Linked DNA regions of Rattus norvegicus. The protein of the gene in region 1 purifies or fractionates together with the protein of each later gene. This does not show direct contact. Links are inferred from orthologs where the notes say so. Each region holds a gene or a part of one and is shown on either strand. Other genes may lie near its edges.

What was found.
Region 2: the proteins of Nek7 (region 1) and Anks3 purify together in Homo sapiens (affinity purification with mass spectrometry; 3 studies listed by BioGRID and IntAct, with this or other methods). This does not show direct contact. The link is inferred for Rattus norvegicus from reciprocal best matches to the Homo sapiens genes NEK7 and ANKS3.
Region 3: the proteins of Nek7 (region 1) and Nlrp3 purify together in Homo sapiens (affinity purification with western blotting; 9 studies listed by BioGRID and IntAct, with this or other methods). This does not show direct contact. The link is inferred for Rattus norvegicus from reciprocal best matches to the Homo sapiens genes NEK7 and NLRP3.
Region 4: the proteins of Nek7 (region 1) and Anks6 purify together in Homo sapiens (affinity purification with mass spectrometry; 3 studies listed by BioGRID and IntAct, with this or other methods). This does not show direct contact. The link is inferred for Rattus norvegicus from reciprocal best matches to the Homo sapiens genes NEK7 and ANKS6.

Annotation. Positions count from the first base shown.
Region 1 is NC_086031.1:52,696,582-52,705,103, reverse strand, and holds the start of Nek7 (serine/threonine-protein kinase Nek7), read left to right. Parts: upstream 1-4,280; 5' UTR 4,281-4,433; intron 4,434-8,522. UniProt on the Homo sapiens protein: Protein kinase which plays an important role in mitotic cell cycle progression. Required for microtubule nucleation activity of the centrosome, robust mitotic spindle formation and cytokinesis.
Region 2 is NC_086028.1:11,125,315-11,133,223, forward strand, and holds part of Anks3 (ankyrin repeat and SAM domain-containing protein 3), read left to right. Parts: intron 1-1,473; exon of another isoform or gene 1,474-1,489; coding exon of another isoform or gene 1,490-1,548; intron 1,549-1,766; coding exon 1,767-1,965; intron 1,966-2,152; coding exon 2,153-2,274; intron 2,275-2,278; exon of another isoform or gene 2,279-3,950; coding exon of another isoform or gene 3,951-3,952; intron 3,953-4,025; coding exon 4,026-4,107; intron 4,108-5,979; coding exon 5,980-6,115; intron 6,116-7,909. UniProt on the Homo sapiens protein: May be involved in vasopressin signaling in the kidney.
Region 3 is NC_086028.1:44,829,295-44,837,203, forward strand, and holds part of Nlrp3 (NACHT, LRR and PYD domains-containing protein 3), read left to right. Parts: intron 1-3,597; coding exon 3,598-3,711; intron 3,712-4,678; coding exon 4,679-6,434; intron 6,435-7,798; coding exon 7,799-7,909. UniProt on the Homo sapiens protein: Sensor component of the NLRP3 inflammasome, which mediates inflammasome activation in response to defects in membrane integrity, leading to secretion of inflammatory cytokines IL1B and IL18 and pyroptosis.
Region 4 is NC_086023.1:66,116,852-66,124,760, forward strand, and holds part of Anks6 (ankyrin repeat and SAM domain-containing protein 6), read right to left. Parts: intron 5,304-7,909; coding exon 5,150-5,303; intron 2,997-5,149; coding exon 2,806-2,996; intron 1-2,805.

The DNA.
Region 1 (8,522 bases):
TCCAAGCAGCTTGAACATTAGCACCCAATTGAACTGCTGAAAAAAATTACTGAGGTATTTCATACTTCTGTCGTTAAGTGGCGCAACCAAAGATTGAAGAAATGCACGTTGTGAGCAGTCAGTGCTTACATTTTAACAAAGGGGTTGGAAAGAGGCAAACAGTATCGACTTTCACTCTTTTCAGTGAATGTGTTAGGGACAGGCCTTTGGAAATGTAACCCGAGGCAGGCCTCTCAATGCAGGTATGAGGAAGTCCTAAAGGTAAACAGAAGTACTTATTTGTCTTGCTTTCATTCCAGTCAGGAAATAGACCACTGCCCCCACTGTCCACACCTGAGCGGATCTGGCACATTCTAAAGCTGGAGTGGAGAACACGGAAGGAAATCTCCCAGAAGAGGTGGATGGAGATAAAGCACACCTCTTTGAAATCGTTTCCTCTAGACGTGTAAAATGACAGGATATTTATAACATCGTATTTCCAGATAGATACAAACGCATATGCTCACACCACCAAGAAACCTACAATTCAAAGTATCCTTGAGGTTCGATGACTTTATTCACAGTATAGATCCCGGTGCTTGCCAACTGTGGTGATGGCTGGAGGTGCCACACTACTGAGGAAATTGTATTTGTGAAATGACCTCACAGTTTGGCTCCACAGGAGAGGGTGGAACTTCTTAATATATTCCCTGCATTGTTCTTTTTGCATACTGGTCCTTTGACGTTTGTCAGAGCAAAGAAACAAGTTCGGTTGAATTCCAATGAGCAAAGAAATTGTAAAAAAAAAGAAAGAAAGAAAGAGAGAAAAAAAGAAAAAAGAAATCATGATATAAATACAAACAGCTGTTTGGACTGATTGCTTCCTGTTTTGCACAAGTATATCTCAGTGTCTTCTATTTAAGATATGTCTCAAAACATCTCTTCTGTTTCACAACTACTGCAAAAATAGCCATGGAAAAGCCACGGTCAGTATGTCCCTATTTTTAACCATGAACTATATCCCCTAGCTATCATAACTCAATAATTGGGAAACAGTAGCATTGTGTCTCTGCAATTCTGAATTCTAGGGATTTAGTGGGGGGATAAAATTAAGATGGATTTAGCTGTTTTTTTTTTTTAACAGAAGCGCATCTGCTAATAATCCACTAACGATTTCAAGGAGCCATTAGATGTGGAAAAGGAACTTGCTAATAATTTTCATGGGTGCTTTCAAAGCATCATAGTTACTCCCTGACACTGTACAGGGATGGCAAGCCAAGGCCAGAGAAAAGTGATCTCCCTTGGGCTGTCTGCAGTCTGTACTCTGACTTCCTCCTCTTGGCCCAGTTTAGTCCAGACATTTCAACAGCTTGACTAAGCCTCATCACCATTCAGCTGCCAAGCTTAGAGGCTGCCAGTCTCACTAGTAGCTTTTTAAGTACAGCTGTTACCAGTACTATGTTTGAGTCAAGAAGACCAGACCTTTCTGGTCTACCCCACTGGCCAGGTTCTCTCTCAAAGGAGAATTATTTTTAATATTACTTCATCATTCTTCTTCGGGGAAACATTTTTTTCCCCTCATAAGTTTCTTTCCTTATGGAGAAATTACATTTATGCCAGAACTGGTATGCAACATCTGTTTCGGGTTAGTTTATGGAGAGATGGTTTTGAGAATAAATACTGCTGATAATTTTTTTCTTACATGGGGCCAGCAGATATATATGGAAAAAAAAACCCTTAAAGATTTGGTTATGAACTGAGAGGTTTTAAGTATGATATATATCCAGATACCATTTATAACTGAGTCGATCTGATATGTAATATATGTGCTGTGTGGTAATTATGTATAAATACTGAGTTATTCCTACAAAGGCATATAATTAATGCAGAGCATGAAGCTCAAGCAGCATTTGGGGAGAAAGCTCAGAGGAGAGATGAACGGAAAAGCAGTTAAAGGTGCTTGTGAGTGTCCTGAGCCAGAGGAGTCTTCTCGGGCAGGCTTCTCTGTTTTCCCATTAGCATTTGCTCCAGGCCAGAAGGCTGGCTTCTGGCACCTGGGAATAACCTTGCCTACCCACAAGGAAGGTGATATAAATTTAGAAAGAAAAAGTACAGTGTCTTCTGTTTTGACCCTCTACCCAGTCTTTGCAACACTGTATACTATTTGTCTGTAGCCATGAAGCCTTTACAAGTAAAAAAAAAAAAAAAAAAAAAAAAAAAAAAGGACACATTACATTAGTTTCATAGTTAGGGCATCATATAACACCAAAAGGATTCTTCCTAGATAAAGGCTTTGCAGCCACTAAGGATGTGGGAGTGAACTTTTGCCCAATTTGACCCTCAGTGTTCATTAGGTATAGTGTTCGCTTCTCGTTGGACTACTTTGTATGTAGATAAATTGGTAGCGTGCTTAAACTGGGCCACCTGTCAATCCACATTTTTCCAAAATGGCAGTATCAAACAGAGTAAGAACAAGCTCTGAGCCATGCATCTGGTCCTAGGTTGAACTTTACCTTGTAAATGTCTTTGAGTTTTTCTGTATGCTATGCCTATGCATGGCAACTCAAGTGACATTGTTCCTATGGCTGCTTTGGCGTGATGTGACCATACAATATAGTTCAAATGCCAACTTATTGGCTTTATCCTATCTTCATCTCATATACCACATTCAATCCTCCACAAACCCCTTTGGCTCTGTCATGGACATGTATCTGAAGTCTGTCTGGTTTTGCTACTGTCTGGTATTGCTAGCATTCTGGTCTAAGCCTGATCGGAATGTTTCACAGAGACCATGAATTGTCTCTTTTTTTTAACTTCTAGTTGTGTTATCCTACAGTTCATTCTCCACAGTTCTGTTTTTCTTTCAACTTACTCCTGTAATGAATTTCCACTTTATTCAGAATAAAATATAAGAGTTCAAATTTCTACACCTGTCCCTTTTCTGGTAGCCCATCCCCCATTTCATCATCTTCTCCCCCTTGTTCGTTGGTTTGGATTCTATCTGCATTGACCTCCTGGCTGTTTCTCCAACATGGCGAACCCACGTCCACACAGGGTACCTTTGCATTTCCCGTGTAAAACCTTCTACTTCCTGAGTCGCATGCCACCTTTTCTCACTTCTTCAGGTCTCTGCTCAAATTCCAAGTGATTTTCCCCTGATAAACATACTTAAAGGAACATTCACACCCCAGCTTTATTTCTCTATGAAATAGATATAGACCCTCTCCTCCCAATCTAAGAACTCGCCTGGCAAACCTGTACAGCTTAAGCTCTTGAACCAACGCTACCTCTTGAAATTTAATTTTCTTTCTAAAATTAAAGTTTGCGTTTTTTCCTAATTCTATTTTACATACTTGCATTCGTATGTGCGCCACGCTGCAGTATGGATGTCAGAAAACAACTCGTGGGGACTCAGTTCTCTTCTATCACGTGGGTCCTGAGAATCAAACTCCTGGCCCTAACTTTCTAAATCCTACTTTCCATTGTTTGAACACATTTGAGCTATAATACCGTTTTTTGTTTGTTTGTTTGTTTTGTTTTGTTTTGTTTTTTGGCTCTACTACTACCCTTGGCAGGAAAATGAAACCAGAGAAAGACCTAGTGATACCGAATGATTAGAATATGTGCTCAAGCGTGCCGCTGTATCTCACCGGCTGTTTCTAAGGAGGCGTTAAAGCTGTTCTTCCGAGAAAGACCATAAGTTAAACAACTGCCACTGAATGATTAGAATATAGGCATGACAGACTCTATACTGCCTCCTAGCTGGCTGCCCCAGTAGTTCAAATCTGGTTAGTGGAACAGTAGGAATCAAAGCTTTGCTTTTCAACAGCTCCATGTACTAAGGAGAGAACCATATTGCAAATATGTGACGTGTAAATTAATTTATGTAATGTAATAATTTTTGTAATGCCACTTTGTAAGTGTGCCTGTATCTCAAAGATCCTGCATACCTAGTACCACCTAGTTCAACTTTCGGAAGCGTCCTGAAAGGCATTCCTAATGCTGGGACACTAAAGTCTAGATTTGTTTAGCCAGATTCCGGGAAGACTCTCGTTTGCTTTCACTGACACAGTGTAGAGGTAGCTGAAACCACTTGGTAAAAGAGAGTGGGATCAAAATACGCCGATTTGAAGGCAGGGGCCAACCGCAGAAAGGGAGGCACACCCCAGTTCTCAGGAAAGTGGCAGCGTGGGCTCCCGAGCAGGGTGCGGGCGCGGGGAGGGGCCTGCGGCGGCCCGCCCTCTCCTCGGGGATGCCGGGATGTTTACCCTCCTGACAGCCGCGGCAGCCGGAGGAGGAGCACAGCCGGGAGGATGGGCCGCTGCTAGGCTCGCAGTGGGAAGCGCCGGCCGATCAGGGTGGGAGCCGGCGCTTGCAGTGGCGCGGGCAGAGGCGATCGGCCCGGGATCGCGCAGCCCTGCAGCCCGCGTGGATCGAGCTGCCCGGGCGCCCTGGTGAGTATGCACGGCCCGGCCGGGTGGGGCCGGTGCGGGGAGCGGGCGGGCCGCGTGGGGCCTCGGACTCGCGTGCCTCTGAGGATCCGCCAGGCCGCCTACAACTGGTGGAGCGCGGTGCAGGCCGCTGGCTGCGGGAGCTCAGACCCCGGGCGCTTCGACCCCCGGGAAGCTCCAGCTCTGCGGTAGCGGCGGCAACAGGTCTCCGGGCTCGGACAGGAGGAACTCCAGTGAAGACCCGCCTCCGGGCAGAGCTCATTGGTCACCTTGGCTATTTACCGATCGCGGATTGGCTCAACCGATTAAGCTGCCGCCCAGTTTAGAAAAGTGAAGTTCACAGACTGTGAGTGGTCGGGTAGTCAGGTCGAGGACTGATTGAGACCGATTCAGGGCTAGGATGCAGCAAAGTATGAGCTGAGCTGAGTCACAGATGGGACGAAGGTGACGTTAGAGAGGCCATGGGGGGATGCTGCTGAGCAATGTCGGCTGCCTCCGCCTGGGGCGGAGACCCTCAAGAGATGCATTTATTGACACACATACTGTACTCGAATAGCCTAAGTCTCTGCCCGGGCTAGACACTAAGAATGTATTTACTTTAGAGTAAGATGTGTTTGTGCCCTTTACGATTCTGGTGATGGAACTGAATATAGTAAAACAATCTAGAGATGAAATGACTTTCCCCCTCTTTCTTTGAGACTACTAATCTTAAAGGTTGTAATAAAAAACAACCAGATGTCCGCAGCTAACAGAGTATTATTAGGACCACTCTTTAGTTTCTCCTCCAAGAAATCTGCAGTTCCCAGTAGACACGTTGTCTACAGCCTTTCACGGCGGTGTGCTTTGGTAGGCTGCCTTTCAGGATAACGTTCCGAATATGCATATTATAAACCTGTTCTCTTCTAGATGATGGGATGTTGTGATCCAAGAAAGACTTAGTACCCACACTCAAAAATTTGTAGTTTGGGACAACCGGACAAACTCTGAAAATGATGAATAAAAAAAAAATACAGCCTGCAGTGCTGTGTGGCATTTCTTGCTTGTATTCATGGCTGCAGTATTTCGTGATGGCCAGTGCACTTGGTTGAACTGGCTTGCAACCTAAGCAGTTATTTCATTTTCACAGCACTCTGCCATCACTCCGAGAGATCCGGTCCATAATTTGCTTTACATCCCAAACCGTTGCATCCTCTGTTTTGGCTGGTGGGGGGAAAACTTTACTTCTTAGAGAGGCAGAAAAGTGGATATGAGAGGAGGGCCTTCGGAGAAGAGTTCGGGGCCGGAATGGAGGGGAATCTGGACCCAGTGACCATGCAGTCCTCAGATTCCACTGCAAGGTGGGCGTCCCCGCCTTCAGGGCACTGACAGCCACTGCAGCCAATGAACAGCGAGGACACCCGGCCCTAGCTCAGGAGGGCGGGTACTTCCTACTGCTGCCCTGGACTAGGAGAGGGAGGCCAAGTTTCTTTGAGGATGTGGGCCTATGGAAAGAAGGGTTGAGAGGCTCAGTCTTGTATAAAAAACAGAGGAGAGGGGGCCTCTGGTTTTCTTTGCGCCCCTTGTTAACTTTCAGGATTCGGGCTCAGCTTGGAGTCACAGTTTCCACTGAAACCATTGTACATAAGAAACAAACCTGGTCAGCAAATTAAATATAGTCCGTGACTGACTGGGGCTTTTGCCCGAGATCATCTGAAACTGAAAACCAAGAACTATCAGAAGAAAATTCATTAGACACTTTTATGGCAGCGTGGCAGTTTTAATACGGTTAAGGCAGTTATCAGTTTAAAGAGTCAAGACTGCATTTTTTTCAGACCTATTTTGTAATCTGAACTACTAAAGTTTATTTATCTGGTTAATACCTGTCTCCCGCCATTCCTTTCCCACAAACGCCTTCTTCGGTGGACACTTAAGTTTCTTTCCAGCCTAATAAAACCGAAGAAAATCACCCCTGTTTATGATGGCTGCACTAGCAGAGGAGGGGAGCAGAGGCCGCTGACAAGCCTTTCTTTACTAAATTAAAACCCAGCATCTCAGTTTCAAATAAACCGAAGTGTACAGCACTTACACTCTGTAAAGATAAGTATTGCCAGGACTCCCCTCTCAATTCCAGACTTCTGATGATTGCAGTTGATGCCCCTCAGCCTTGACTTACTACAAACATTAAGTATTATGCATTTACTAAAAATAGAATAAAGTAAAATCCCAGTGATTTTACTTATTCTGTGATTAACAGTGATTCTGTTATTATAAGAATTTTTAGGGTAGCTATTCTCATTTTCACCTTTTTTTTTTTTTTCAAATACTTGATTAGTGTGTGGGCAGATATTTTACTTCACAATCTAAACCGTAGTACAGTAGCAAACTTACGGGTAGTTCTGAAGGTGTGGGAAATTTATAGTTTAGAACTATATGACCTGGGTGGTTATTATTTACTCCGAATTGCTTTATATGCAATTCTACAAATATTGTAACCTTTTTCTAAGAACCATTACTTTAAACTTTTGAAGTTGTTCCATTTTAATTCTTCCTCCTACAATTTATTTATTCATGGAGAGTATAGCCGATATAACATTGGATATATGATTATACCCAAGCATATGTGTTTGTGGAATATAATTTTATAATTTACACTTAAATTTTTTTCTTGGCGTAGGGTTTTACTCTGCTGGCCCGGAACTTACTTTGTGTATAGCTCAGGTTGGCTTTGAACTCATGCTCTCCTCCTGCCTCAGCTTCCCAAAGGCTGAGATTATAGGCATGAGTTACTGTCTTTGGCTGAGAATTTCGAAACTTATATAACTTACATAGCTGCAAAACTTTTAAACTGCTGATTTGTTTCCAACTGACAGTTTGGTGTCCCTATGGTGTTACCTATTTCTCAAAGTATTTTCTTCCTTTTAAAGAAAACAGCCTCCGTTATCGTTCATGGTTTTATGGTGAGGATTGGGAATGAGGGCAGATGCTAAGGAACATCTTTTCCCATTTTTGATCAGGATAAATGATTTTTTAACCTTTATTAAAAAAAAAAACACTTTGTCCTAATGTGTATATAATGACCAAATAAGATGAGCTTTACTGGGGTTAATAGCTAGCCGCAGTGTACACATGAGGAAAACTTACTGGTTTATAAAAGTGTACAGATGTCCGTTTTATATGACTCAGTGGAAGTCGTCCCTTTTGCATGTTACCTACCACAGCTCCTGAGTGGACAGTAGTTAAGAGCTACTTTTGAACTCCAGGCTGCTTATGTACAGATGGGTTCACTAGCCCTAAACAATATAATAAGTATTAATAAGTCATAATAAGTATTTTTGACTTCCTGGGCTGTATTGTCTCTGGGAGCTCCTGCTTTTATAGCCACAAACACTCCCCATATATGTGCATGTAGCTGTGCTCCAATAAAACTTTATTTATATAGAAGATAACATCAAAGGCCTACGCACGAGTTTTAAGCCATTGGGGTTTCCAGCAACAGTGCGCTGTGAAAGTTTTTATTCTTAGAACGTGTGTCTAACGTCCACTGAGCATTACCTGATTTTGCTTATTGGTGTTCATAACCACGTGAGCCACTTAGGTTGGTTATCCTGCTGTGAAGGGTAAGGGGATAAAAAAGTACTCATTAGACCAGAACAGACGTAGAGAAGATTTACTAGAGAAAATAATCTGCAAGAAGAGACAGAGGTGCAGGGGGCTAATACTCAGAATAGCTTCGAGAGGGGATGGGAGTTGTCTTTGCAGAGCTTTAGACAGCCTTGGCCTCTGGGGACCCCAGACTCATCCTGTGACATAGAAGCAGTGTGTGAGTGAGTGCTGTGTCCTGTTTCCTCCTTGGGAAACTCAGGTAAGAGGTGATGCCAGCCATTTATCCGCTCTTTTGTGCTCTTTAGTCAGTGATAGTCCTCATATGGGTGAGTTCTGACAGGCTTCATTCGTGAGTGCTCATTTTAGCTACTGTCCCTATGACTGTTACCGTTAGAGGGGCTTTTCGGCATGTGTGATTTGATGAGCCTTTTTAAAAATTGTTATTAACTTTTTAAAGAAGAATGAACGGAGGAGAATGAAAGTACATTCTCATGCGTCTGTAATCCTAGA
Region 2 (7,909 bases), on another chromosome or scaffold:
TATTATTCTGTGTGGTCAGAAGGTTTGGCTGAAGAAGGGTCTCTTTACTTTCTTGGTTCCACCCCACTCTATACTTAAAAGTTTGTCAGTGCTCACTCATTTAGTATCTTGGTTAGATGATGTCTCTCAGCCCTCTCTGTGCCATCTCAATTCCTGATGAGCCAGGGGAAAGCCTCAAAAAGCCTGTGTCTCTGGTTGCTAATCAGAGCCATCCATCGTCCTTGGCCAGCAGAGTCTGAGTGCTCTCAGTCTAGAGCAGTCTGTAGGACTCCTTTACTTAGTGCCTCAGAGGTGTGCAGCTAGGTGTGTAGTCAGCACATGTCCTTACAGGATCCCAAGACTCCTGCTGAAATTCTTTGGAGTCCCAAGTTCTTATATGTTGAGTGTTCTGTTAAAAAGAACATGTCTCAAAGCAGCCCAAAGAGGGGAAGATGGAGTAGATCTGTGCTCTCACTGGAGTTGACCCAGTTGAGAAGCACACTTGCTCACAGAAGCCTAGGTTGGGGCCAAGGGATATTGGAGGTTTCAAGAACAGGTGCTGAAAGGTAGGTGTTGGTTAGCTTTGCTGAGGTACTTGCTACTGTTGACCTTGTTGAATTTCCACTCATGAAGCCATACAGGGGTGGATGCCAAGTCATTCCAGTGACTCCAGAGGTAGCTACATGTAGCTCTACAGGCAGGGCCTCAGGCCACTGCAGAATGCAGAGCCAGCTCGAGCTGCTAGTGTGTGGAAGTCACTGCCTCAGTCAGCTTAGTATGGATCTCACAGGAGGCACTGATCAGACAACAGTTTCTACACGGGGAATAAGAACTGTAAAGGGGAAGGCCTGGGCCTTAACATACCTTCTTTGGAGTGGGCAGTGGGTGTTATTCTAGAATGGGACTATCATTCCCAAGCCTTAAAGTCTGAGAGCCCCAATCTTCTGCTTTTCTCCGTGAAAGTGCATTTCCAGAACTATAACAGAAAGAACTTAGGTAATAGGTACTCTGGTGATAAGTTTTTTTATAGGGTGAAATGACAAAGGATCAGTGGCAGTGATGTCCTTAGTTCCTTTCTCTTTGCTTGACCACTCTGCATAACTCTGAAGGCAGACTGTGTTAATTTGGTGCCTCGTGGTTAAGGTGACTCAGCCTCATTTCTACTAATAAACTAGGCCAGTTAGTCTTTTCTGTGCTGGGTCCTTTGTGCTGTAGGGTGTTTAACCCGCTACCTAGACCTAATCTACTATGTGCCAACAGCTGGCTACTTCCTAGATAATATAACTGGGGAGAAATGGCAAGACCTTACCTAACTCCCCTGCTTGATCATGGTTGGTATTGCTGTAGGTACAAAAAAGATTATTGGCCTTGTCCAGGAGGTACTGGACAGGTGAGAGCATTAAAATAAAAGGGTTATATCAGTCACTTTTACTTTTTTCCCCTTTTCTTTCTGTTTGTTGTTTGTTTGTTTCTTTTTTAAAATTTACTTATTAGTCTGTAACCACAGCCCATGGAATGCTTCCCACATCATTTTACCCAGTCTAGAAAATTCCTCAGACCTGTGCAAAGGTATGTCTTTTAGTTGATTCCAGACCCTGTCAAGTTGACACTCACGATTAACCATCACAAGACTCTGAAGCAGGGTGGAAACACTTACCTGGGGATGACTCGAGGCAAGTGACTCCTGCCTTCTGGAAGGGCAGCTTGTCCTACCAGGCCTAGCACCTGGCTCTGACGAAGCCACATGTGAGATGCTGGTTATATCTAGCATAACTTGTGTTATTTAGGAGAGAGTTAGATTTGAATAAGAAGAATGGTGGTGGCTGGACTCCGCTGATGTATGCCTCCTACATTGGACACGATACCATTGTTCACTTGCTGCTCGAGGCAGGTGTGAGTGTGAATGTGCCAACCCCAGAAGGACAGACTCCACTGATGCTGGCCTCCAGCTGTGGTAACGAGAGCATCGCCTACTTCCTGCTCCAGGTGAGCTGTGAGTGGGCCCAAAACCCCAGGTGCTCCCTGGTTGCCCTGACAGGATATGAGATGCTGCAGGCCACAGTGTGCATATACGCATAGGTCAGCTGAAGGTCCAGTGGATGCTTCCCAGGCACCCACCCAGATTATATATTTTGGAGACTTGGGGCATAACCCACATTCTATTCTTTTGAAGCAAGGTGCAGAGCTTGAGATGAAAGACATCCAGGGCTGGACTGCACTCTTTCACTGCACCAGTGCCGGCCACCAGCAGATGGTCAAGTTTCTTCTGGAGAGTGGAGCCAATGCCAACGTGAGGTGATTGTTGCAGCCACGTGGTCATAGGAGTGGGCTGGGTTTCTGAGATCAGATGGGTGGTTAGCAGAGAGGAGCTAGGCAATGAACAAACCAAGCCAAGATTCCTACATGCAGAGCATGTGTGCAGGCTCAGGCCCAGGCTCTCGTGCACTTAGAACTGCTGGGATGTTGAGATTGGGCTGGGGGGTGGCAGTTCAGTTGGTAAGGTGTTTGTTGCACAGGCATCAGCTTGATCCCCAGGGACAGGAAAAAATGTTGCCGTGGTTGTGTATGCTTATAACCACAAGGCTAGTAGGAAGAATAGGCAGATGCCAGCCCAGTCCACTAGTCCAGTTGGTGAACCCTAAGTCGTAGTAAGAGAGCATCTCAATAAAAAAAAAAAAAAAAGGTAGGTGGTTGTCAAGAAACAGCACCACTTCCAGCTTCTGCACTGTGCACACCCACCCATCCCGCGCTCACCCTCACTACACAAGGACACCAAGGAGATGAGGTGGAATAGTCACGAAGACCACATGAGATTTAGTAACTCCTCTGCTTCATTAATAGTCCATCTTCCCTTCCTCAAAGCCATTCCCACTTCATTCTAAATCCCCACTTTAATCATGCTCAAAAAGCATCTTCTGCTAGGCATAGTGGAGCACACCCTTAATCCCAGCACCCAAAAGGCAGAGGAGGATTTCTGGCCAGCCTGGTTTACACAGCGAGCTCCAGCCAATGGACAGCCAATGCTACCTGAAGAGACCCTGTCTCAAAAAACATACTAACTGAACAAGCAGATGTTAAAACATACTAACTGAACAAGCAGATGTTAAAACATACTAACTGAACAAGCAGATGTTAAAACATACTAACTGAACAAGCAGATGTTAAAACATACTAACTGAACAAGCTCGTGTTAAAACATACTAACTGAACAGGCTGGTGTTAAAACATACTAACTGAACAGGCTGGTGTTAAAGCAGCTACTGCTCTTCACTTCTCACAGATGGTGATGTCTCTTCCCAACTGTCCAAGTCTTATCTATTGGGTTCAGCAGCCCATGAACTGTTTCTGTTAAGCCCATCTGTGTTCTCAAACAGCCCCTTCACTGTTCCTCATTCTCTGCTGAAATAGAAGCCAGGAGTCATGCTAAACCTGTCTCTCAACCATTGTAAGAAACAGTTTTCAACATCTCTCAAGTTAGAATATAGCTTAGAATCATTAGACAAGTTGAATTTTAATTAGTAGCATTTTATTTCTATTTTAGAGTCATTCAGAATTATATCGTGTCTCCCAGCATGGGTACCAAGAGCCAGAATTTGCCGTGCCAGCTTAAGGTGGCGCTCAGTTGGTACTTGCTGTGAAGGGGGATCATTACATAACATGCACCAGACCACAGTAGCTTCATGTCATGAAAGTCATGAAGGAGACTAGGGAGGTGGCTTAGTGGGCAGAAGTGCTGTGCAAGCCTGACAACTGTAACTGTAGGATGCAGTCATGTGGGTAGTCTGTAAGCCAAGCACACAACAGGAAGTAGGAGGGCAGAGACTGAATCTCCAGAAGCTAACAGGCCAGCTAGCCTGGGATACCCAGCAACCAAGAAACCATGACTCCAGCAAGGTAGAAAGGCAAAGATCAATACCCCAGCAGTTGTAACAGCACGAGAGCCTAGGCCTGAGCCTGCACCCCTACTTTGCATGTAAGGATCTTGGCTTGTTTTGTTCATTGCCTAACTTCTCTCTGCTAACCATCTATCTGATTTCATCTTGCAGGGAACCTGTATATGGATTCACTCCTTTGATGGAAGCAGCTGCCGCTGGCCATGAGATAATTGTGCAGTATTTTCTGAATCATGTAAGTACCTATTTACTACCTTATAATTTACTCACAGCAAATGGGAAACTATAAACTCTAACTGGGGTTTCTTTTACATGTGTAGTTAGCATATTGTATATATGCACGTGTATACATGTGGAATAGAGGACTGTAGGAGTCTGTTTTCTGGGACGTGAACTCAGACCGTAGGATTGATGGCAGGTGGTTTTACCTACTGAGCTATCTTGCTACTTTGTAGGCAGTACATTTTCACTGAAACATACAGTGCTGAGTAAAAATAGACACCCACATTTATGTATTTACAATGATTTTGAAAACACATTAACTCTATTCCTGGTGCTGGAGATTAAGCCCAGGTCTTTGCATGTGCTGTGTAAGCTCTCTATTGCTGAGAGAGATCCTCGGCCCTTTTAAAAATGTTTTATTTTGAGACAGGCTCATAGTAAGTTGTCTAAATTGGCTTTGAACTTGTGTAGCCCAGGAAGACTGTAAACTTTTAATCCTTCTGCTTCAGCTTTCTGAGTAGCTGAGTTACAGGCCTGTGGCCTGTGACAACCAGGCAGTGTGACTAGAATGACAAGAAGGGAGGGATGGAGTATGAGTGACAGTGTCCAACATGAACCTCAGCAGACTTCCAAGTGGCATCGCTTGTCAGGACACAGTCTGGTAACTCTAGGCCCAGCTAGCATTACTGTAGCATGCGTCAGCCCTTGTCTCAGTAGGACTGAGAACTGTGTCCACACAGAATTGTACACAGTGTCTACAGCAGGAGTCTTCCTAAGCACAAAGGGGAATCAGCGTGCATGCTTTGGGATTTACTTTTGCTGTTTGCTGTTTGTTACTTTTGTTTTGCTTTCTGGAGTTTGCATCAGATGTAGCCCAACCAGGTCTCATACCTACTATCTAGGTGGTAAATGGCCTTGACTTCCTGATACTCCTGCTTCCACTATAAGTACTAGGATTATAGTCATGAGCCACCACCCCATAATGCGTGTTTTCTCCACGGGTTTTGGGTGTCCTTCCTGCACTGCATCCACTCCTCCCTGGGGAGTGGTGGGAGGTATCTTATTTGCTCCCACTGACACCTACTGCAAGTTCCTCTGAACCGCAGTGTTACTTGGAGTTACGCTGTCAGTCCTTAATTATCAAGTTAAACTCCTGGAAGAGACTCTGGGCCAATTTTTATTTTCTAAATTCCTTGTCATTTGTCCTCAAAACCTTGCTGGGCAGCCTGCCACCATGATATTAGACTGTATTGTGAACACTTTGAGAGGAGAAATCTATTGCATTAGGTTCAGAATAAGGATCTTCCCACCTCAGGAAACCTAAACTGTAATCTCGTTAGGTTATTCTAGCAGGAGGATTGTGAGCTCAAGGCCTGCCTAGAATCACAGTGAGACCCTGTCTGTTTCAACAAAACACCAATAGTTGGAGGTGGAGGCAGGAGAATCAGGAAGTTAAGGTTGTTCTTGGCTACATCCTGTCTCAGAAAATCAGGGACAACAGACATAAGTTCAGTTTGGGAGGATGGAGCCTTCTTTCTGGGGGTGGGCTGAATGGTTGTTTGGTTCTCTACTAAGAGACAGATATAGTAGGTGTAGAGGGTGAAGGTGGGCCTCTGTTGCAGGTTCCAGGTTTTTTGTGTCTCCTTGCCTTATGGCAGGCAGTATTCAGGAGGGAGAGTGGCTGCCGCTGCAAGATGGCTTGGTGACTGCTCTTGGTGATGGGCTTGTTGTCACCAGACCTTTTCACTCCTACCCCTCCACCCGAGTGTTATCTCAAACAGGGGGTGGGGAGTTGACCATAAATGTCCTTGTTTTCTCATCCCTCTGGACCAGCAGTCCACTTAGCTGGAAGAATTTCTGACTCTTCTTTTGTGAACCTTTTTAGGGAGTCAAAGTGGACACAAGAGACCACAGTGGAGCCACAGCCCGGATGCTAGCCAAGCAGTATGGTCACATGAAGATTGTGGCTTTGATGGAAACTCACTCACCTGTACTGCCCAAGAGCCTCTACCGTAGCTCAGGTACCTGATCTGCCTGTGTCCTGATGGAGTTGAGGCAGCCCTGAGCAGTAAGGAAACTAGGAGACAAGGAGGGCCTCTCCCCAGTCCATCCCTTTGCTCAGGTTGGGCTCTACCAGCCCTGCTCTGAGGCCTTCTTTTCTTACCAGTTCCACTGTGGAGCAGAGGTTGGGGTCCAAGGCCTAGGGCCAGAGAGATGCAGACTTTCCCACAGAGAACAGTGTCTGTCAACTGATATCACGCACAGCACAGGCTGTGGAGCCTAAGGAAGAAGGGGAAGAGATATGCCTCACTCACAGAGAGGCCTCTCTGGCTTTTAGTTCTTGACTTTGACAATCTCGTGCTGTGTAACTTTTACCTTTATGTGAGCAGGTGTCCTTTCTTGCCTCTGGATGTTGAGTCCTCACCAGTGTTTCTCAGGGCTGTGATGGCCATGACCCTTCTAGCCTGTACGCTTTCATCTTTTACGTGTACATGTCTGATCCGTGATACTTGTTTCTCCTTTCCAATTGTTCACAGTGTTGCTGGAATTTCCAACCCCAGTAAGCCCATGTAAAAACCACACAATCCAGCTATTATAATTATCAGCCACATGCCTAGATTGTGCAGATCTAGCACTATACTAACTTATTCTGCAGCCAGGAGACCCTTTGCTATTTGTGGTTCTCTGAGCCACATGGTTCTGCTCCATCATGGCCACCTCCTCTCCCTCCTCTTCTTCCTCCTTCTCCTCTTCCTCTTCCTCCTCTTCTTCCTCCTCTTCAGTACTCTCCCTTCTCATTCTCCTCTCTTCACCTGCCCCCACTCTTTTTTTTTTTTTTTTTTTTTGGTTCTTTTTTTCGGAGCTGAGGACTGAACCCAGGGCCTTGCGCTTCCTAGGCAAGCGCTCTACCACTGAGCTAAATCCCCAACCCCCACCTGCCCCTACTCTTAAAGATCTCCTGTCCCACCTTTCCCCTCCACTGCTCAATCACAGGCTCTAGCCTTTATCGACCAGCTAAAATGGGGAGAAGGTTCACAGGAAATCAAGTACATGATCGACTGGTCATGGGGACAACCCCTGAGGAAGTGGAATTAACATCAGAATACAAATAGCACTAGGACAGCCCTCAACGATACAGTTGGGACAGCATGACTGACATGTACAGTTGGGCCAGGATGATGGACATGTACAGTTGGGCCAGGATGATGGACATGTACAGTTGGGCCAGCATGATTGACATGTACAGTTGGGCCAGCATGATTGACATGTACAGTTGGGCCAGCATGATTGACATGTACAGTTGGACCAGCATGATTGACTTGGCTCCTTAAAAGGTGTTGTTTTAATTAAGATGGTTGAGGGCTGGAGAGATGGCTCAGTGGTTAAGAGCACTGACTGCTCTTCCAAAGGACCTGAGTTCAATTCCTAGCAACTACATGGTGGCTCACAACCATCTGTAATAGGATCCAATGCCCTCTTCTGATCTGTCCAAAGACAGTGACAGTGGAATAAATACATGGAATAAATAAATAAATCTTTAAAAAAAGAAAAAGATTAATTAAGATGGGTTGAAAAGGTGTATATGATGGTGTACAGCTACAATCTCAGAATTTTGGATTGAGAGGCAAAGTAGAAGGATACAAATTCAAAACCAGTTAGGAACACAGACTCAGTCTCAAAAAAACAATGAGCACATATCAAGGAGACTACAGGAAATGTGTAAATTCACTGTTTCTATGGTGTCACCTGTCCATCTAAGAACACAGGGCATGTTTTATATTTAGTATACTTTTGGGACGTTGAGGACGGATTAA
Region 3 (7,909 bases), on another chromosome or scaffold:
CTTTCTTTGCTTTTGAGTTAGAGTCTCAAGGATCCCAGGCTGGCTCCAAACTCAATCCTCCTTCCTCTGCCTTCTAACTGCTGGGAGATGATGTCCTTTACTATACAGAAGTTAGCATGTTTGAAATGTTAATTTATTATCATCGGTTTTCCTTCTCCCCTGGTGAGGTATGAGAGGGTGGGAGGGAGCAGTGTGCTTTTTCTAATTCTGTAAAAGCTCCGGTCTTTGCTTTACTCCTGGGGGCCTGTTGTGGTTGGTATCACACTCTCCTTCCCCAACTGGCTCAGAGCAGATGCTTGTCTGCTCTAAACCAGGGAAACAGCAGAAAGGATTCAGAATAACCTGAGAAGTCCCAGGCATCCTCTGCCGAGTAGGAGCAGGGCGGAAGGAAGTAATCACAGGAGATAAGGATGCCTGGGGTGGTGTTATTCAGTAGTAGAATGCCTCCTTGTTATGTACAGAGACCTGGGGTCCATCCCTACAGCACTGGGCCAGTTGGAGTTGAGGAGGTGTGTGGCAAGGCAATGGTGACCCAGGAGAAAGAGATGGAGCTATGAGGCAATCCAATTGCCTGTCATTGTTCCTGTACCGAGAATGGGTACAAGAGGAATGAAGAGTTAATCTCAGCAATAGAAGCCCTGACTGAGCAATTTTAGATCTTTTTCAAATTAAAACGTTAAACCTTTCAGCTATTTATTTTGTGTGCTTGTATGTGTGTGCTAATGTGTGTGCACATGTGGAGGTCAGAGGACAATTTGTAGGGTTTGGTTCTTTTTACCGTGTAGGTCTTGGGGATTAAGCTGTTACTCCCTGAACTGGCTCTTTCTGGCTCTATACTAGGTAGTTGGTTTTGTTTGTTTGTTTTTTGTAAGATTTATTTTGGACTGGATGTAGTAGTACAGGCCTTTATTTCCAGTACTTGAGAGGCAGAAGCAGGTGGATTTATTCAAGTTCGAGGCCAGCCTGGTCTACAGAGCAAGTTCCAGGACAATCAGGACTATGTAATAAAGAGATCAGGTCTCAAAGAAAATCCAAAAAGCAAAACCCAGAAAGCAACACAAATTTTACTTTATATGTAGGAGCGTTCTCCTGCATGTCTATGTGTGCACCATGTATTGGCAACTGAAGAGGCTAGAAGAGGGTATCGTATTCCCTGGAACTGGAGCCACCATGTGGGTGCTGGGAACTGAATCCAGGTCCTCTGGAAGAGCAACAAGTGCTCTTAATCACTGAGCCACCGCTCCAGGAGCCCTGTACAAGGTGGCTTCAGTGGGTTTTGTTTTTCTTTCAATAACCCCATGACATAGTTCCTAGTACTGTTGGTGCTTTCAGGTGAAGGACGAGAGACAGGGCGTGGTTCTAATTACCCAAGGCTCTCCCGTCAGGGCCAGCCAGAGTAAGAGCAAAAGGCCAGGCGAGACTATAAAAGTATAGCCATGTGATGTTGGCTTTTATATCTAGATTTTAGGCATAAAAATTGTCATCAATATTTGATGTTCTTTTGGGGGTTGAAGTGAGATATTATGGGAGAATTGGGCAGAGGTTTGGGGTTGCATGAGTGTTTAGATTTTTGTTTTGTGATTCCATTACCAGTGGTGCTCTCTCCTCTCCTCTCCTCTCCTCTCCTCTCCTCTCCTCTCCTCTCCTCTCCTCTCCCCTCCCCTCTTCTCCCATCCCCTCCCCTCCCCTCCTCTCCCCTCCCCTCCCCTCTCTTCTTCCTCCTCTTTTGTCCATCCTTCTTTAGATCTCACATATCCCAGGCTGGCCTCAAGCTCACTGAGTGGCTGAGGATGACCTTGAACTCCTGATCCTCCTGCCTTCACTTCCTGGGTGCTAAGTATGTGTACTAACACCCCACCTGGCTTATATGCATGCTAGGAAGATATTCTACATCCCTGACATTATCTTCCAGAATAATTCTACATCCACAGGAGTATGTCCGTGTCTTTGATCTGCTTTGTGTGCTTTGTGTGGGAACTTTTGTTATATTCCTAAATTTCCCCTAGGAGGAAAGTCTATACCATTGGGATTCATAGCTCTTGGCTGTAGGTTCCCATTGGCATCACCTTGGCCTTTTCCATGGGTAATAATGCCTAAGCCTCAGCACAGAGTAGAAAGAACTCCTTTGAGTAGGGTATTACCCAGCATTTTCAGACCTCTCCATGTGAGTTCAGTAAGCCATGGTTCTGAACTACTTAACTGACTGACAGTGTTCACTTGTGAAGACCTGGAAATCTAGACAGGACAGCACAGGAAATGACCCTCATGGGTTTCATACGTCCAGCTGAGCTCAGGGGAGGGTGAACCTGTCAGGAGAGCATTGTGACTCTTGCACATAGACCCTAAGTTAAGGTGCCAGAGACAGCCAGGGACAGGTGACAACGGCAAAGGAAACACCGTTTGATCTCATCTGTTCTCTAACGGATTTCTGGGCCTGGGAAAGACATTCTGAGCTTGGGGACGCAGTTCTGTCTAATGATTGACAGCTTCCCTTTGAAAGCGAGGTGAGCGGGGTTGGGGATTTAGCTCAGTGGTAGAGCCCTTGCCTAGGAAGCGCAAGGCCCTGGGTTCGGTCCCCAGCTCCAAAAAAAAGAACAAAAAAAAAAAAAAAAAAAAAAAAAGAAAGCGAGGTGAGCAGAATCATGCCTACTAGGCTTTCAATGCCATAGCTATCAAGATCTGCAGCTCTTGAGCCATGCTTACTCCCCTATCCCCCTACCTTTTTTTCTTTTTTTTTCCTCTTTGAGATGTGACCTCATGTAGCCCAGGCTGGCTTTGAACTCATTGCGTAGCTGAGGATGACTCTGAGGTACTGATTTTCCTGCCTCCATCTCCCAAGTGCTGAGCTTAGAGGGATCTGTTCTCATGCCTGGCTAAGCCACATTTAATTCAGAAGGAATAGGGAGTAGGGGGGCCTTTGACCTACCCCAAAGACTAGACTCCATTCTATCCTTTGTGTTAGGACATTTTATGTATTTTGTGTTCCTGTAAAATTGTAAAAAAGCTTTCTTTTACTCCACACTAGATCCAGCACCTCAGTGCCCCAAGATATTTGGTAGACATCTTCATCTCAGTCAGCAAAGCGTCTTACCCGCTCTGCTCCATCCCATATCACACTGCTGATGGCTACTCTCTGAGCCTGGCAGCAATCTCTCTACCCATCTAGTTTTCAAAGCAGGTTGCCACCATGCCAGAAATATACATCCCAATTCCGTGGCAGCCTAGTGTCTTTGGCCACCACATACTCTCTTAAACTTAAATCACCACAAGAAAGAACACACAACACAATAACCTCTGATCCAATTGATAAGGTATAATTGCCCACCTAAACATACAAAGCCCTGTACACATCCATCCCTTAAGAATATTCATAACAACCTGTAAATGTGCAGAGAGGAATCTCAACATCTGCCTCCATGTTCTCTCCGCTGCTTCTCCTGACTCCTCCAGTCTCCTCCTCTCTCTAAATCTTTTCTCCCGCCCATCCTTCCTTCTCATCCAATGACAGGCCTCGTTCTATCCTGTACCTGCCTTCACCTGTATGACATCCTACAACTTTGTGTTTGTTTTTTTTTTGTTGTTGTTGTTGTTGTTTAGATGATGCATGCACGTCTAATCTCTCCATGGTGTGCCAGGAAGACAGCCTTGAAGAGGAGTGGATAGGTTTGCTGGGATATCTCTCCCGCATCTCGATTTGTAAAAAAAAGAAAGGTATGCATCAACCTGCTGTTCTCAACTTTGTTTTGAGACTTGGGACAGGGGACTAAGGAACTAGAAAGCAGAGACACTTGGCCACTCTACAGGGAAGGAGGCCTGCCTCAGGAACTCCACCTTCACTGAAGAAGCAGATGCACATTTTCATGCCTTCCTTCCTAAAGTCCTGGGGAAAGGGTTTACTGCAAGCAGATATGGGCTTCAGACTAAAGGTATAAAGGCTTGAATAACATTTTCTGGCTGGAGGCTGCAGTGCTGACTTTCTGCCCTATCGTGAGTGGGAAGTGATTGACACCAGAATTTTGGGGACCTGATAACACTTGAGCAATAGGGACAAATTACACCTCCTATTTTTCTTGTATTTTTGGTTGTGAGCCTAGCCTTTAACAAACTAAGGCCCCGTCCATCTGAACCACCTATTTTTCTAAGCCAGTCCTTCCTTTCTCTAGAGCATAAGCCACTGGCTTTCCTTCTAGGCACGTGGCCATGCCTCTGTACAAATTCAGAAAACAGTAATAGATATAATGAGAGATCCCTGGAGAGCACATTGCCACCGGGGCTTATGGACTGCAAGCACATAGGCTTCAAACCAATCACAGAATGGTTGGCTGTTGCCATAACAGTTGCACCACCGCTGCATCAAGGACTACACCTCGCTGTGTACAGTTGAACGTTTGGCGAGCACGTTGCTCTCTATCTAGTTGGCAGTCAGCACTCTGCATTTTGTCATTGTTCTCGAATCCTCATAATTCTTTTTTTTTTTTTTTGGTTCTTTTTTTCGGAGCTGGGGACCGAACCCAGGTAAGCGCTTCCTAGGTAAGCGCTCTACCACTGAGCTAAATCCCCAGCCCCAATCATAATTCTTAATGTTCCTCCTGTAACAGCACAGGCCTGCTGACCGCTTATTGTTGGGGAATAGATGTGTGGGCTCTTCCTGGATTCTGCCTTTCTGTCTCTGCTGCAGATTACTGTAAGATATACAGAAGGCATGTGAGAAGCAGGTTCTACTCCATCAAAGACAGGAATGCACGTCTAGGTGAGAGCGTGGACCTCAACAGACGCTACACCCAGCTCCAACTGGTCAAGGAGCATCCAAGCAAGCAGGAAAGGGAGCATGAACTCTTGACCATTGGCAGGACTAAGATGTGGGACAGGCCCATGAGCTCCCTTAAGCTGGAGCTGCTCTTTGAGCCTGAGGATGAACACTTGGAGCCCGTGCACACAGTGGTGTTCCAGGGAGCAGCAGGCATCGGAAAAACAATCCTAGCCAGGAAGATTATGTTGGACTGGGCCTTGGGGAAGCTCTTCAAAGACAAATTTGATTATTTGTTCTTTATCCACTGTCGAGAGGTGAGCCTCAGGGCACCAAAGAGCCTAGCAGATCTCATTATCAGCTGCTGGCCTGACCCAAACCCACCAGTCTGCAAGATCCTGTGCAAGCCTTCCAGGATCCTCTTCCTCATGGACGGCTTTGATGAGCTGCAGGGGGCCTTTGATGAGCACATCGAGGAGGTCTGCACAGACTGGCAGAAGGCTGTGAGGGGAGACATTCTGCTAAGCAGCCTCATCCGAAAGAAGTTGCTGCCTAAGGCCTCTCTGCTTATTACGACGAGGCCAGTAGCCTTGGAGAAGCTGCAGCATCTCCTGGACCACCCCCGCCACGTGGAGATCCTAGGTTTCTCTGAGGCCAAACGGAAGGAGTATTTCTTTAAGTATTTCTCAAACGAGCTGCAGGCCAGGGAGGCCTTCAGGCTGATCCAAGAGAATGAGATCCTGTTTACTATGTGCTTCATCCCCCTGGTCTGCTGGATTGTGTGCACAGGGCTAAAGCAGCAGATGGAGACTGGAAAGAGCTTGGCCCAGACCTCCAAGACCACGACTGCCGTCTATGTCTTTTTCCTTTCCAGCCTGCTGCAGTCCCGGGGGGGCATTGAGGAGCACCTCTTCTCTGCCTACCTGCCAGGGCTCTGTTCATTGGCTGCGGATGGAATTTGGAACCAGAAGATCCTATTTGAAGAGTGTGATCTGCGGAAACACGGCCTGCAGAAGACCGACGTCTCTGCTTTCCTGAGAATGAACGTGTTCCAGAAGGAGGTGGACTGCGAGAGATTTTACAGCTTCAGCCACATGACTTTCCAGGAGTTCTTTGCGGCTATGTACTATCTGCTAGAAGAGGAGGAAGAGGGGGTGACCGTGAGGAAGGGACCAGAAGGCTGTTCAGACCTTCTGAACCGAGACGTGAAGGTCCTATTAGAAAATTACGGCAAGTTCGAAAAAGGCTATCTGATTTTTGTTGTACGCTTCCTCTTTGGCCTTGTAAACCAGGAGAGAACTTCTTATTTGGAGAAGAAGCTAAGTTGCAAGATCTCTCAGCAAGTCAGACTGGAGCTGCTGAAGTGGATCGAAGTGAAAGCCAAGGCCAAGAAGCTGCAGAGGCAGCCCAGCCAGCTGGAACTGTTCTACTGCTTGTACGAGATGCAGGAGGAAGACTTTGTGCAGAGCGCCATGGGCCACTTCCCCAAAATTGAGATCAACCTCTCTACCAGAATGGACCACGTGGTTTCTTCCTTTTGCATTAAGAATTGCCATAGGGTAAAAACACTTTCCCTGGGATTTCTCCACAACTCACCCAAGGAGGAAGAAGAAGAGAAAAGAGGAAGTCAACCCTTGGACCAGGTCCAGTGTGTTTTCCCAGACCCTCATGTTGCCTGTTCTTCCAGGTAAGGAAATTTGGCTTCAGGCAGATAGTAGCTGTAACTTTTGCTTTCTGGCTACTTTTCTTGGTCCGTCCATCAGTCCTTCCTTCCTTCTTTCCTCTCCTCTATTTCCAATTATTTTACAAATATAATTGGCGAGCTTCGTGATAACGTGACTGCCACCCTTTTGCTGAGAGCGGCTTACGCTAGGTAGATGAATGGGATGAAAACAAAACCCAATAAACTAAGAAATAAGCATCTGGGGAGAATATGGCTTCGGCGCACAGTATGGGGCACGTTGTGGCATCGCGTGGCTATGTCTGTAGACACCCACTGCTTGTACTTTAGCTTACATCTAGCACACTGGCTGTTCCTCAACCCACGCTGCTATATGGATGCCCTGGACTAGGTTATTTTTGATTTGAAAGGCATATGTATTACAGTTGTGGAGGATGGGAGGTGTAAAGACAGGGTCCCACAGGCTGGATTTACCTGGCAGAAGGAAGAAAAGCAGCTCCACAGGTCTCCCTTGCACAAGATGCTAAGATTCTCTACGAGGCCCTGCCAGCATGGTCAAGCATCCTCCTCCTGATCCCGTCCTTCTGAGACGAGGGTGTCTATCTGTTTTTTTAAGGGTAGGGTGAACATGCAGACTGTGCCAGTGGGAGAGGGGAAGAGAGAGGAGGTAAGGGAAGGCAGACTTGCTACTTCAGGGCCTAATACAAGGTGGAGAGAGGATGAAAGGCCTGATAAGGACTGCACTCTGATGAGGAAGGGCAGGGACTCTGCTACAGCCATCGAGAAGAGAGCTCTTACTTCAGGCAACGGCCATTTCCCTCACACCATAGAGGTTTATCACAGAACCTTCCAAGAGGACAAGCTAAGCGCATATCCCCCATCAGAGGTCCAGAGTCAAAAACCCAGACCTGCATCTATACAAAGAAACTGCTCTTTTTTTTAAAGCTAGGGTTTCATGTAGTCCAGGCTAGCCTTGAACTTGAACTCAATTCTGTAACTGAGAATGACCTTGAACTCTTTATCTTCTAGCCTCTGTGTTCTGAGTACTAGGATTAAGGGCATTGACAAACATGCGCTGTTGTTATGTAGTGTTAGGGGCCAAATCCAGGGCCTCAGATAGTCAAGCCTCTACCCCTGAGCTACGTCCAGTCCTGAAGGCTCTCTGCATTATAATAACTGCTACGGGGTATTCCAATGGGACTCCCTGGAAATGACTATTGTTGCTTCTCTCCTCTGGAAAGAACAGTGGATCTGTGACTGGTGGCTTAACACTTAGGAGACAGTTAGGTGCCAGGACCCCTGTCCTGAGCTCTGGTTTGTTGTTATTGGGAAATAATGTTCTCTTCTGGCCTCCTCCCTTGCCATTCTAGACTGGTGAACTGCTGCCTCACCTCTAGCTTCTGCCGAGGTCTCTTCTCAAGTCTCAGCACCAACCAGAGCCTCACTGAACTGGACCTCAGTGACAATACTCTAGGGGATCC
Region 4 (7,909 bases), on another chromosome or scaffold:
CTAATTGTCTACTATTGGTATAAAGAAATGCAACTGACCTCATATATTGACCTTGTGTTCTCTGAGTGACAGCCCAGCCCAGAGTCTCTTATGCTGACCTTGCTAAAGTAGTTTATTAGCCATGAGTATCTGTAGAGATTCCGTTTGGTTTCCTATACGGACAGACATGCTGTCTAAGGGCAGAGCTAGGTTCCTTCCTTGGTGACACTGACTGCAGTCTCTAGCGCAGGCTGTGAGCTGTAAGCCCCTCTGTATTCCGGCATCCTGCTTCCCCATCAGGGAGTGCTTGGTCTTTGGCAACAGTGGTCCCGCTATACTTATTTCTCACCTAATTCGGGAAATCCCCTCCATAGCTGCTCTGTGTGCACCACAAACGTGCGAGGTGTCCTAGAAGGTCAGAAGAGGGCATCAGATCACCTGGGGCTGGAGTTACAGATGGCTCTGAGTCACCATGTGGGTGCTGACCTGGGTCCTCTGGGAGGACAGCCAGTGTTTTTAACCACTGAGCCATCTTTCCAGCCCCTGGATTCTGAATGTTAGACGCTTTTCCTGCATTTATTCGTTCATCTTTTATATGGTATGCCAAAGTCACTGATTTTTCTAATGCTGACTCTAACTCGCATAAGGAGCCCCTCAGTTGGAAGGGGTGTCCTTTTCACCCACCACTGGACTTGACTTGTGTGGAAGATTCCAGAGTTTAAGAGGATTATTGGGGCTACATTCTTTCTTGCAGTATCATAAAAATCCACCTTGCTCCCAATCTTAGGGGATAGAGAAACCCTATAGTGTAATACAGGGTCATTAAAACACATTAACCACCAAGCATACTACAGAACAGCTTTAATGTCAGCACTGGGGAGGCAGAGGCAGAGGCAGAAGGATCTCTGAGTTTGAGGCCAGCCTTGTCTACATAATGAGTTCCTGTCTCAAACCAACCAACCAAACCGTTTCAGTCCCAAGGGTGTATAGAACTTTAAGTGGGGAAGGAAGTGACAGACCTGAAGAGAGAACTTACCTGACTCTGTTACAGATGCTGTCACACCTCTAAGTGACTGATGAGAGTCAGCCAATCAGGATATGGAACACATGGACCAGCCCCCACCCCTATCCCCCACAACAGTCCCCAGAGTGACATTCACATAGCCCCTTTCCCAGAGGCAGCAAGAGGACAGATGCTTTTCTTAAGTGGCTATGGGATACTCACCAAGACAGGTCACACTCTAGGGCATAAAACAGACCCTGAAACACCTACAGGGGGGGAAACAGACCTACATACAGCAGAGCTGAGCTATGCCTCAGTAATAGGAAGACTCGGGAAAAGTCTCAAATGACTGAAAATTTAAAACAAAACCAGCCAACAGTGGGTCAGGAAAGAGGCTCAGATTCAGCTGCTGATGAAGGTTCGCAGCTAAGCACACGTGAGCTATAGCTCTGGGATGGAGAGAGAGGCTGAACCCTCCTTCAGAGATGAGGAGGTAGGTCCTCGCTCCCACTCACCCTTCCTGCCTTCCCATGATTGGGGTACAAGCCAGACTGGCCTCATGCATACCCCACCACAGCAGTGAGCTTCCTGCTTTAAAACAGAGGACAAAATCCAAATCTAGGAGGCTCCCGTTTTGAAAACTAATTTCTATTCTTCCTGAGGGAGCCATTGAAAAGCACTTCATGTCTTCTTACTAAGAGAGTCTGCGACGGAACGCCCATTTCAGTGTCCTCTGATTGGGGCAGTGGTTTCCAAGAGTTGCAGCTGAACCGGACTCTCTCGGGGGCAGGAACTGATTCCTTAGAACCTACCCTGAGAGTCAGGGGCAGCAGGAAGGTGTGGAGAGTTATCACTAGACCAAGCATCAGGAGACCTCGGAACTAGATCGTTCTCCACCGACTGTCTCTAGGACCTATCTTTTGGCACCTAACTTCTTTCACCAGGATATATTTGTATGTTGTTAAAGTTACCACGTGCAGCCCAGGGTGGTAACAGTTAACAGCTTACATGCCTGTCTCCAACATCAGTGACAGAAAGCTAAATGGTATTTAACGCAGTTAATGAAACCATCAGAATAGAACAGAACATTTTAGACAACAAAGGAGAAAACTATTTCAAAGCCCTCAGCTAGTAGACTCATTTTAATGAGTAGCTGGGAGTGGCCATATAGAAAATGTGAAAAGAGAAATACACTAATTATATAACTTTATATATCTTATAAAGAAAATGCATCAAGATCTCGGAGGAGTCTATAGCTGAACTCTAAAATAAACTTAATTATACAGGTCCCTCACATAAATAATTCTGAACATAACAGAAATAAACTCATGTGTTGGGGAGAAACTTCTGGAACTAAATTATAAAAGGAACTTAAATTATGAGGTTTCTCTGTGCAAGAGAGTTGGGGTAAGAAAGTTGTGGGGCCAGCAGAGGCTGTGCAGAAACGAACCATTTCTCACACATCTGCTAAGACAGACTCAGACCTGGGGGTGGGGGGGTGGGTTGCTCAGTGAGCTGCGGTTTAATCCAGCAGGCTGTCCCATCCCGTGTTAACCCTCTGCTCTCTACAGAGGACAGAACGGACACACGCAAGTGTGCACCTGAGCCCGTTCCAGTGCCTCCACCCCCACCTCCCACCCCTGACCCTGGAGAAGAGGTGGGTGAACATGGGACAACAGGGGCAGAGTCAGACCTGTGCAGGAAGTTAGGCGTGGCCATGACTGCAATGCCTGTGAGGTTACTCCCAACCCGACACCCCAGCGCTGCATGTGGGCCATGGGAGAACATTGTACAGGTGCCGCAGGCATCCTGAGAACAAGCACCTTGCTGCTGGAAGTAACATTGGAAGAGCCACTACCACTGCCCAGGAGGGAGGCTGGCAGCTCAGGTGGGCTGGAGCCGGTCGCTGGCCCCACAGGACTGGACTGCTGGCAGGGGGGCTTCTGCTCACACAGGCCAGCCGCTTTTTTCCTCTGAGCAGCGATCTGGGAGAGGACACTGTCTACGCTGCCACCTGAGGAGACAAGAGACAGGAGTGAGCATTGTGGCAAGTCCTTCCTGCCTCGTGGGGGACTGTGAGCTGTCTCAAGGTTCAGGCTTGTAAGAGTTCTACACAGGGCCCCAAAGGAGCTGCAGGAGGGCTGAGCGCCACAGTGAGAAGCAGGGTGACAAGAGCTGGCTTGTCTTCACTCCTTCAGGCCCAGCATGTGTAACTCCCTAATGCCATAGAACCTATGAGCACTGAGCTCTAGGCTTCTAACTGCACCCTAACTGCCATTTTCCCTCTCAGCTTCTCTGAGTATACTGTAACCTGGAGAGGGGTTGACTGACACATGGACACATACACATGCATGAGCAGACACACACACACGCACACACGCACACACGCACACCCTTACCCCCTGGGGCTGAGCCACTGGCAGGAGGTATTCATGGAACAGATGTACCTGCCAGCGCTCCACAGGGAACCGGAAGGTGGGATGTACTGACCGGCCGGATGTGGCGATGCAGAGAGTACTGGGAGGACTGAGGCAGAAGAACTGCAAGTTCAAGGCCTGCCTGAACAGCTTAGTGATAGCCGACCACGATAAAAATCGAAAAGTGAATGAGGGGTATAACACAACAGTAGCAAGCTTGTTAGGAACAAGCTAGCCAACAGCACTAACTTCTTTCAGAGGTGGGGGCCTGTTCTATTTTTTTCTTGTTTTATTTGTTTTTGTTTTGTTTTTCAAAACAGTGTTTCTCTCTGTAGCCCTGGCTGTCCTAGAACTTGCTCTGTAGATCAGGGTGGCCTAGGACGCAGAGATCTCCCTGCCCCTGCCCCTGCCCCTGCCCCTGCCCCTGCCCCTGCCCCTGCCCCCCCGTGTTGGACAGTGCTCCACCACCATCACTTCTGCCCGGCAACATTCATGTTTTTTAAAAGGCAAACAGCTGACTAAGCCTTGGAGCTCAGGCTACAGAGCTCACTGAGCAAACCTGAAGATATCTCCTGGGGGCAGCAAGATGACAAACCAAATGGTCCAAGCAATAAGAGGAGAACCAACTCCTACAAATGGTCCTCTGACCTCCACACTCAGGGCAAGTTACACATGCACCCACACAAATACTCATACATGAAATAAATTAGAAAACAGGTTTGTTTGTTTGTTTGTTTAAATTTTGGGAGACATTATTTGCATGAGCAAGAATATAGGACAGTCGTGGACAGAGCTCACTAAGAAGTGGCCACTCCAAGGGAGCTCTGAGAGTACTTAAAACCCTCCTGCCCTCACTCCATCCCCACTCCATCCCACCCTGCACAGCAGGGCTCTGAGCTGTATGAGCTCGGGGGAGTCGCTGGAGCCCAGCTCCCTCCCCTGGAGCATGCTGACAAGACAACAATGTAAAGGGATTATTCTGGGACCATTGAAATGGCTCAGCCTTGGGCCTGGCAGAGTGTTCAACAAATCATTCTGACTGTATAAATATTCATAATATGCACAAAATAAAACACTGTGCAAAGTCACAGCAAGATGTTAGTGATGAGTGAGCCCTCATGGGTGAGCTTATGCCCCCCCCCCCGCCCCTTTTGTCTTTTGGCTCATCTGGTCTTCACGTTTTCCTCCCAGACGCATGGACGCATGGACGTCTTCTGCAGTAGCTGCCATGGGTGGGGGCCCTCTCAAAGAGCCGTCTTTGTTTAGTCCTGGAGATCTTTGGGAGGACTTGTGAGTATGCCGTAGCCTAGAACCATGGGGCCCCCTGCTTTGACATTTCCTTGCCTCCAGCTTGCTGGGTAAGTCTGGGCCCATCTCTTGCCCAGTTGGAGCTTCAGAATCCTACTCTGTTCAACCAACGACAGAAGAGAAATTTCCCCAGGCTTAGCCTTCAATCAGTTTGTACATCATGAAAACCCTTGGCATTTTTCTCCATTTCTTATAACATTTTATAAGAAATAAGAAAAGCATTAGGGGCTTGACTTCTTCCTTCTCCCTCTAGCCTCATCTCGGGAAAATGAGCAAAGGCAACCCTGAATTGGTAGTTCATTAAAAAATCCCCAGCGGCACCAAGAAGGGGATGGCGTACAGCCATACAGCAGCCTCTGGTGTTGCATGTAGGCGGAGCAGGGGACAGGAGGGGACTGGCCAGGGACTCTCCCATTTTCTGGAGCGGCCTGTGACTGCTTACCTGAGCGGTTATGCAGCTCTCCCCCCAGCCTGCTCATGCTGCCCACGCCACTGGCACCCCCTGAAGAATGAGGCGAGTGGTTAAAGTTCCCGGAGCTGGCAGGGGACGTGGGGCTCCTGGAGATGCTGGGGAATTTGACTGGCCTGCCAGCAGCCTGTGAGTACAAGGTGAACCAGACAGTTAGGACAGGGCCTTTCTTCCTCACCACACAGCACAGTGGCGCAGGCGTGCCCGTCTCACTGACCCCCAGGGTCCCGTGGCAAAGAGCTTTTAATCCTATCTGCTAACAACCCATTAGCTCAGCCTGGGCCAGGGAGCACCACCCCGACACTGGCTGCTTGACTTCCATCTCTAAACCAGAGTGCCCTCCAGGAAGTGCTAAGGAAACCCCTTACGGAAAGCTGGGAAAGCCACAGTGTACCTCAGACAAGGCATGCAAGCTCACTCTAGCCACTGACTGTTGATCCACTGACTGACTCCTGCCGTCCTCTGCACTGTCCTCAGTCCTGGCCTGAGCACACTGGAAGCACTCAGAAGGAAGAAAGGCCACAACCGGCTGGATGGTGGCCTCAGACGGCAGGTGAGTGTCCTCAACCTATGAATACTGTCAAGGGCCACCACTCAGAGATACTTAGCAATGGTGTGCCTGTGCTAAGAACTTAAGGGGACAGAATCATAGAGCTGGAGAGACGGCTCAGAGGTTAGACACATTTGCTGCTCCTTCAGAGGACCCAGGTTTGGTTCCCGACACCCACATGGCGGCTCACGGTGGTCTGCAATTTTGGTTCCAGAGGATCTGATGTTCTTTTCTGGCCTGTGCAAACACTGTACACATGTGCAGGTAAAACACTCATAAACATACTAAAAATAAAATCTTCTAAAAAGAAAGAAAGGAGGGAGGGAGGGAGGGAGGGAGGAAGAGAGGGAAGAACAGAACAAGAACTTGCTTGGGTCACCTAGATGCTCCCTGAGTACACTCTCAGGCCTCCTTGGGACACAGGCAATTCTGACAAGAGAGACTGAAGAGCTGCAGCTACAACCCAGGGTGTGCCAAGAAGAGTCCACAGAAGTGTTATGTCCTTGGGAGAGATCCTCCTGCCTCTCCCATGAGCCTCTGCGGGACACAGCCCTACCCTCACATGCTTCAGCATACTTAGCACTGTAGAAAATATTCAGCCTGAGGTGAGCAGAGCAGTGAGGCCTCACCCCATCTCCCTCCTTCTTGGTGGCCTTCCCGGCTCCCAGAGCACACATTCGTCTCCTGGGTGCTCTGTGCCTGCTGTTCTATGCTCCACTAAGGAAGGGGTCAATGAGTATTTTCCGAGAGAATGGGACATGAGCACTGACATCCAGGCCCTTGGCATTAGTGACATTTTCTAGGAAAGGTAGCCATAGAAGGCATTGAGGGACGTCCTGCCTATCTGACTGTCCCACCTCACTTCACTTACCCAAGGTACCAGGATCCCATCTCTACCAGGACCTGAGAGTGCCCAGCCCTAGGATCAGTCCTGCCACACAGACGCAGTGGAAGTCCAGGTGTCTGCTGTCACTCAGCCACCAAAGCAGCAAGACCTGTCCTAAATCCTCATCTACAACCTACCCACTTACTCAACCACACTGAGGGCAGTCCACACACCCAAAGACACACACAAAGCTGGCAGCTCAGGGACCAGCCTGTCCTAAATCCTCATCTACAACCTACCCACTTACTCAACCACACTGAGGGCAGTCTACACACCCAAGGACACACACCAAGCTGGCAGCTCAGGGACCAGCCTGTCCTAAATCCTCATCTACAACCTACCCACTTACTCAACCACACTGAGGACAGTCTACACACCCAAAGACACAGACAAAGCTGGCAGCTCAGGAACCAGCCTGTCCTAAATCCTCATCTACAACCTACCCACTTACTCAACCACACTGAGGGCAGTCCACACACCCAAAGACACACACCACGCTGGCAGCTCAGGGACCAGCCAAAGGCTCCAGGTGAGAGATCTTACTGAGGTCAAAGGGACAGGTGTTTCCTCCCACAAAAGCACCAGGAGTACACACAGTGGCCCTCTAGTGTGTGTTCTTGATCACAGCCCTGAACAAGTCGAAGAGCCCCATTTCTGACCCACCCCCACCAGGCCAATGATAGACAATGATAAGTTATTTCCCAGGTCACCTCCCTGTCTGGGTCCTACGTCCCTGAAGCAGAGATGGGAGAGCTAGAGTGGGTCCTCAAACTGTGGTCCCCTGAGGGGACCCAGAGCTCTAGAGAGGACAGAGGGCCTTGCCTCCACACACGGTCCCTGCAACACTTTAACCTTCCACATTCTCAGTTCTTTGATAGGATTTAATTAGACTAAGGGACTGTACTGGCTGGTTTTGTGTGTCACCTTGACACAAGAAGTTATCACAGAGAAAGGAGCCTCAGTTGAGGAAACACCTTCCTGAGATCCAGCTGTAAGGCATTTTCTCAATTAGTGATCAACAGGGGAGACTCAGCCCAGTGTGGGTGGTGCCGTGCCTGGGCTGGAGGTCCTGGTCTGTAAGAAAGCAAGCTGAGCAATCCGGGAGAAGCAAACCAGTAAGTAATATCCCTCCACGGCCTCTGCATCAGCTCCTGCTTCCTGGCCTGCCTTGAGTTCCAGTCCTGACTTCCTTTGGTGATGAACAGCAACGTGAAAGTGTAAGCTGAATAAACCCTTTCCTCCCCAACTTGCTTCTTAGTCATGATGTTTGTGCAGGAGTAGGAACCCTGACTAAGAC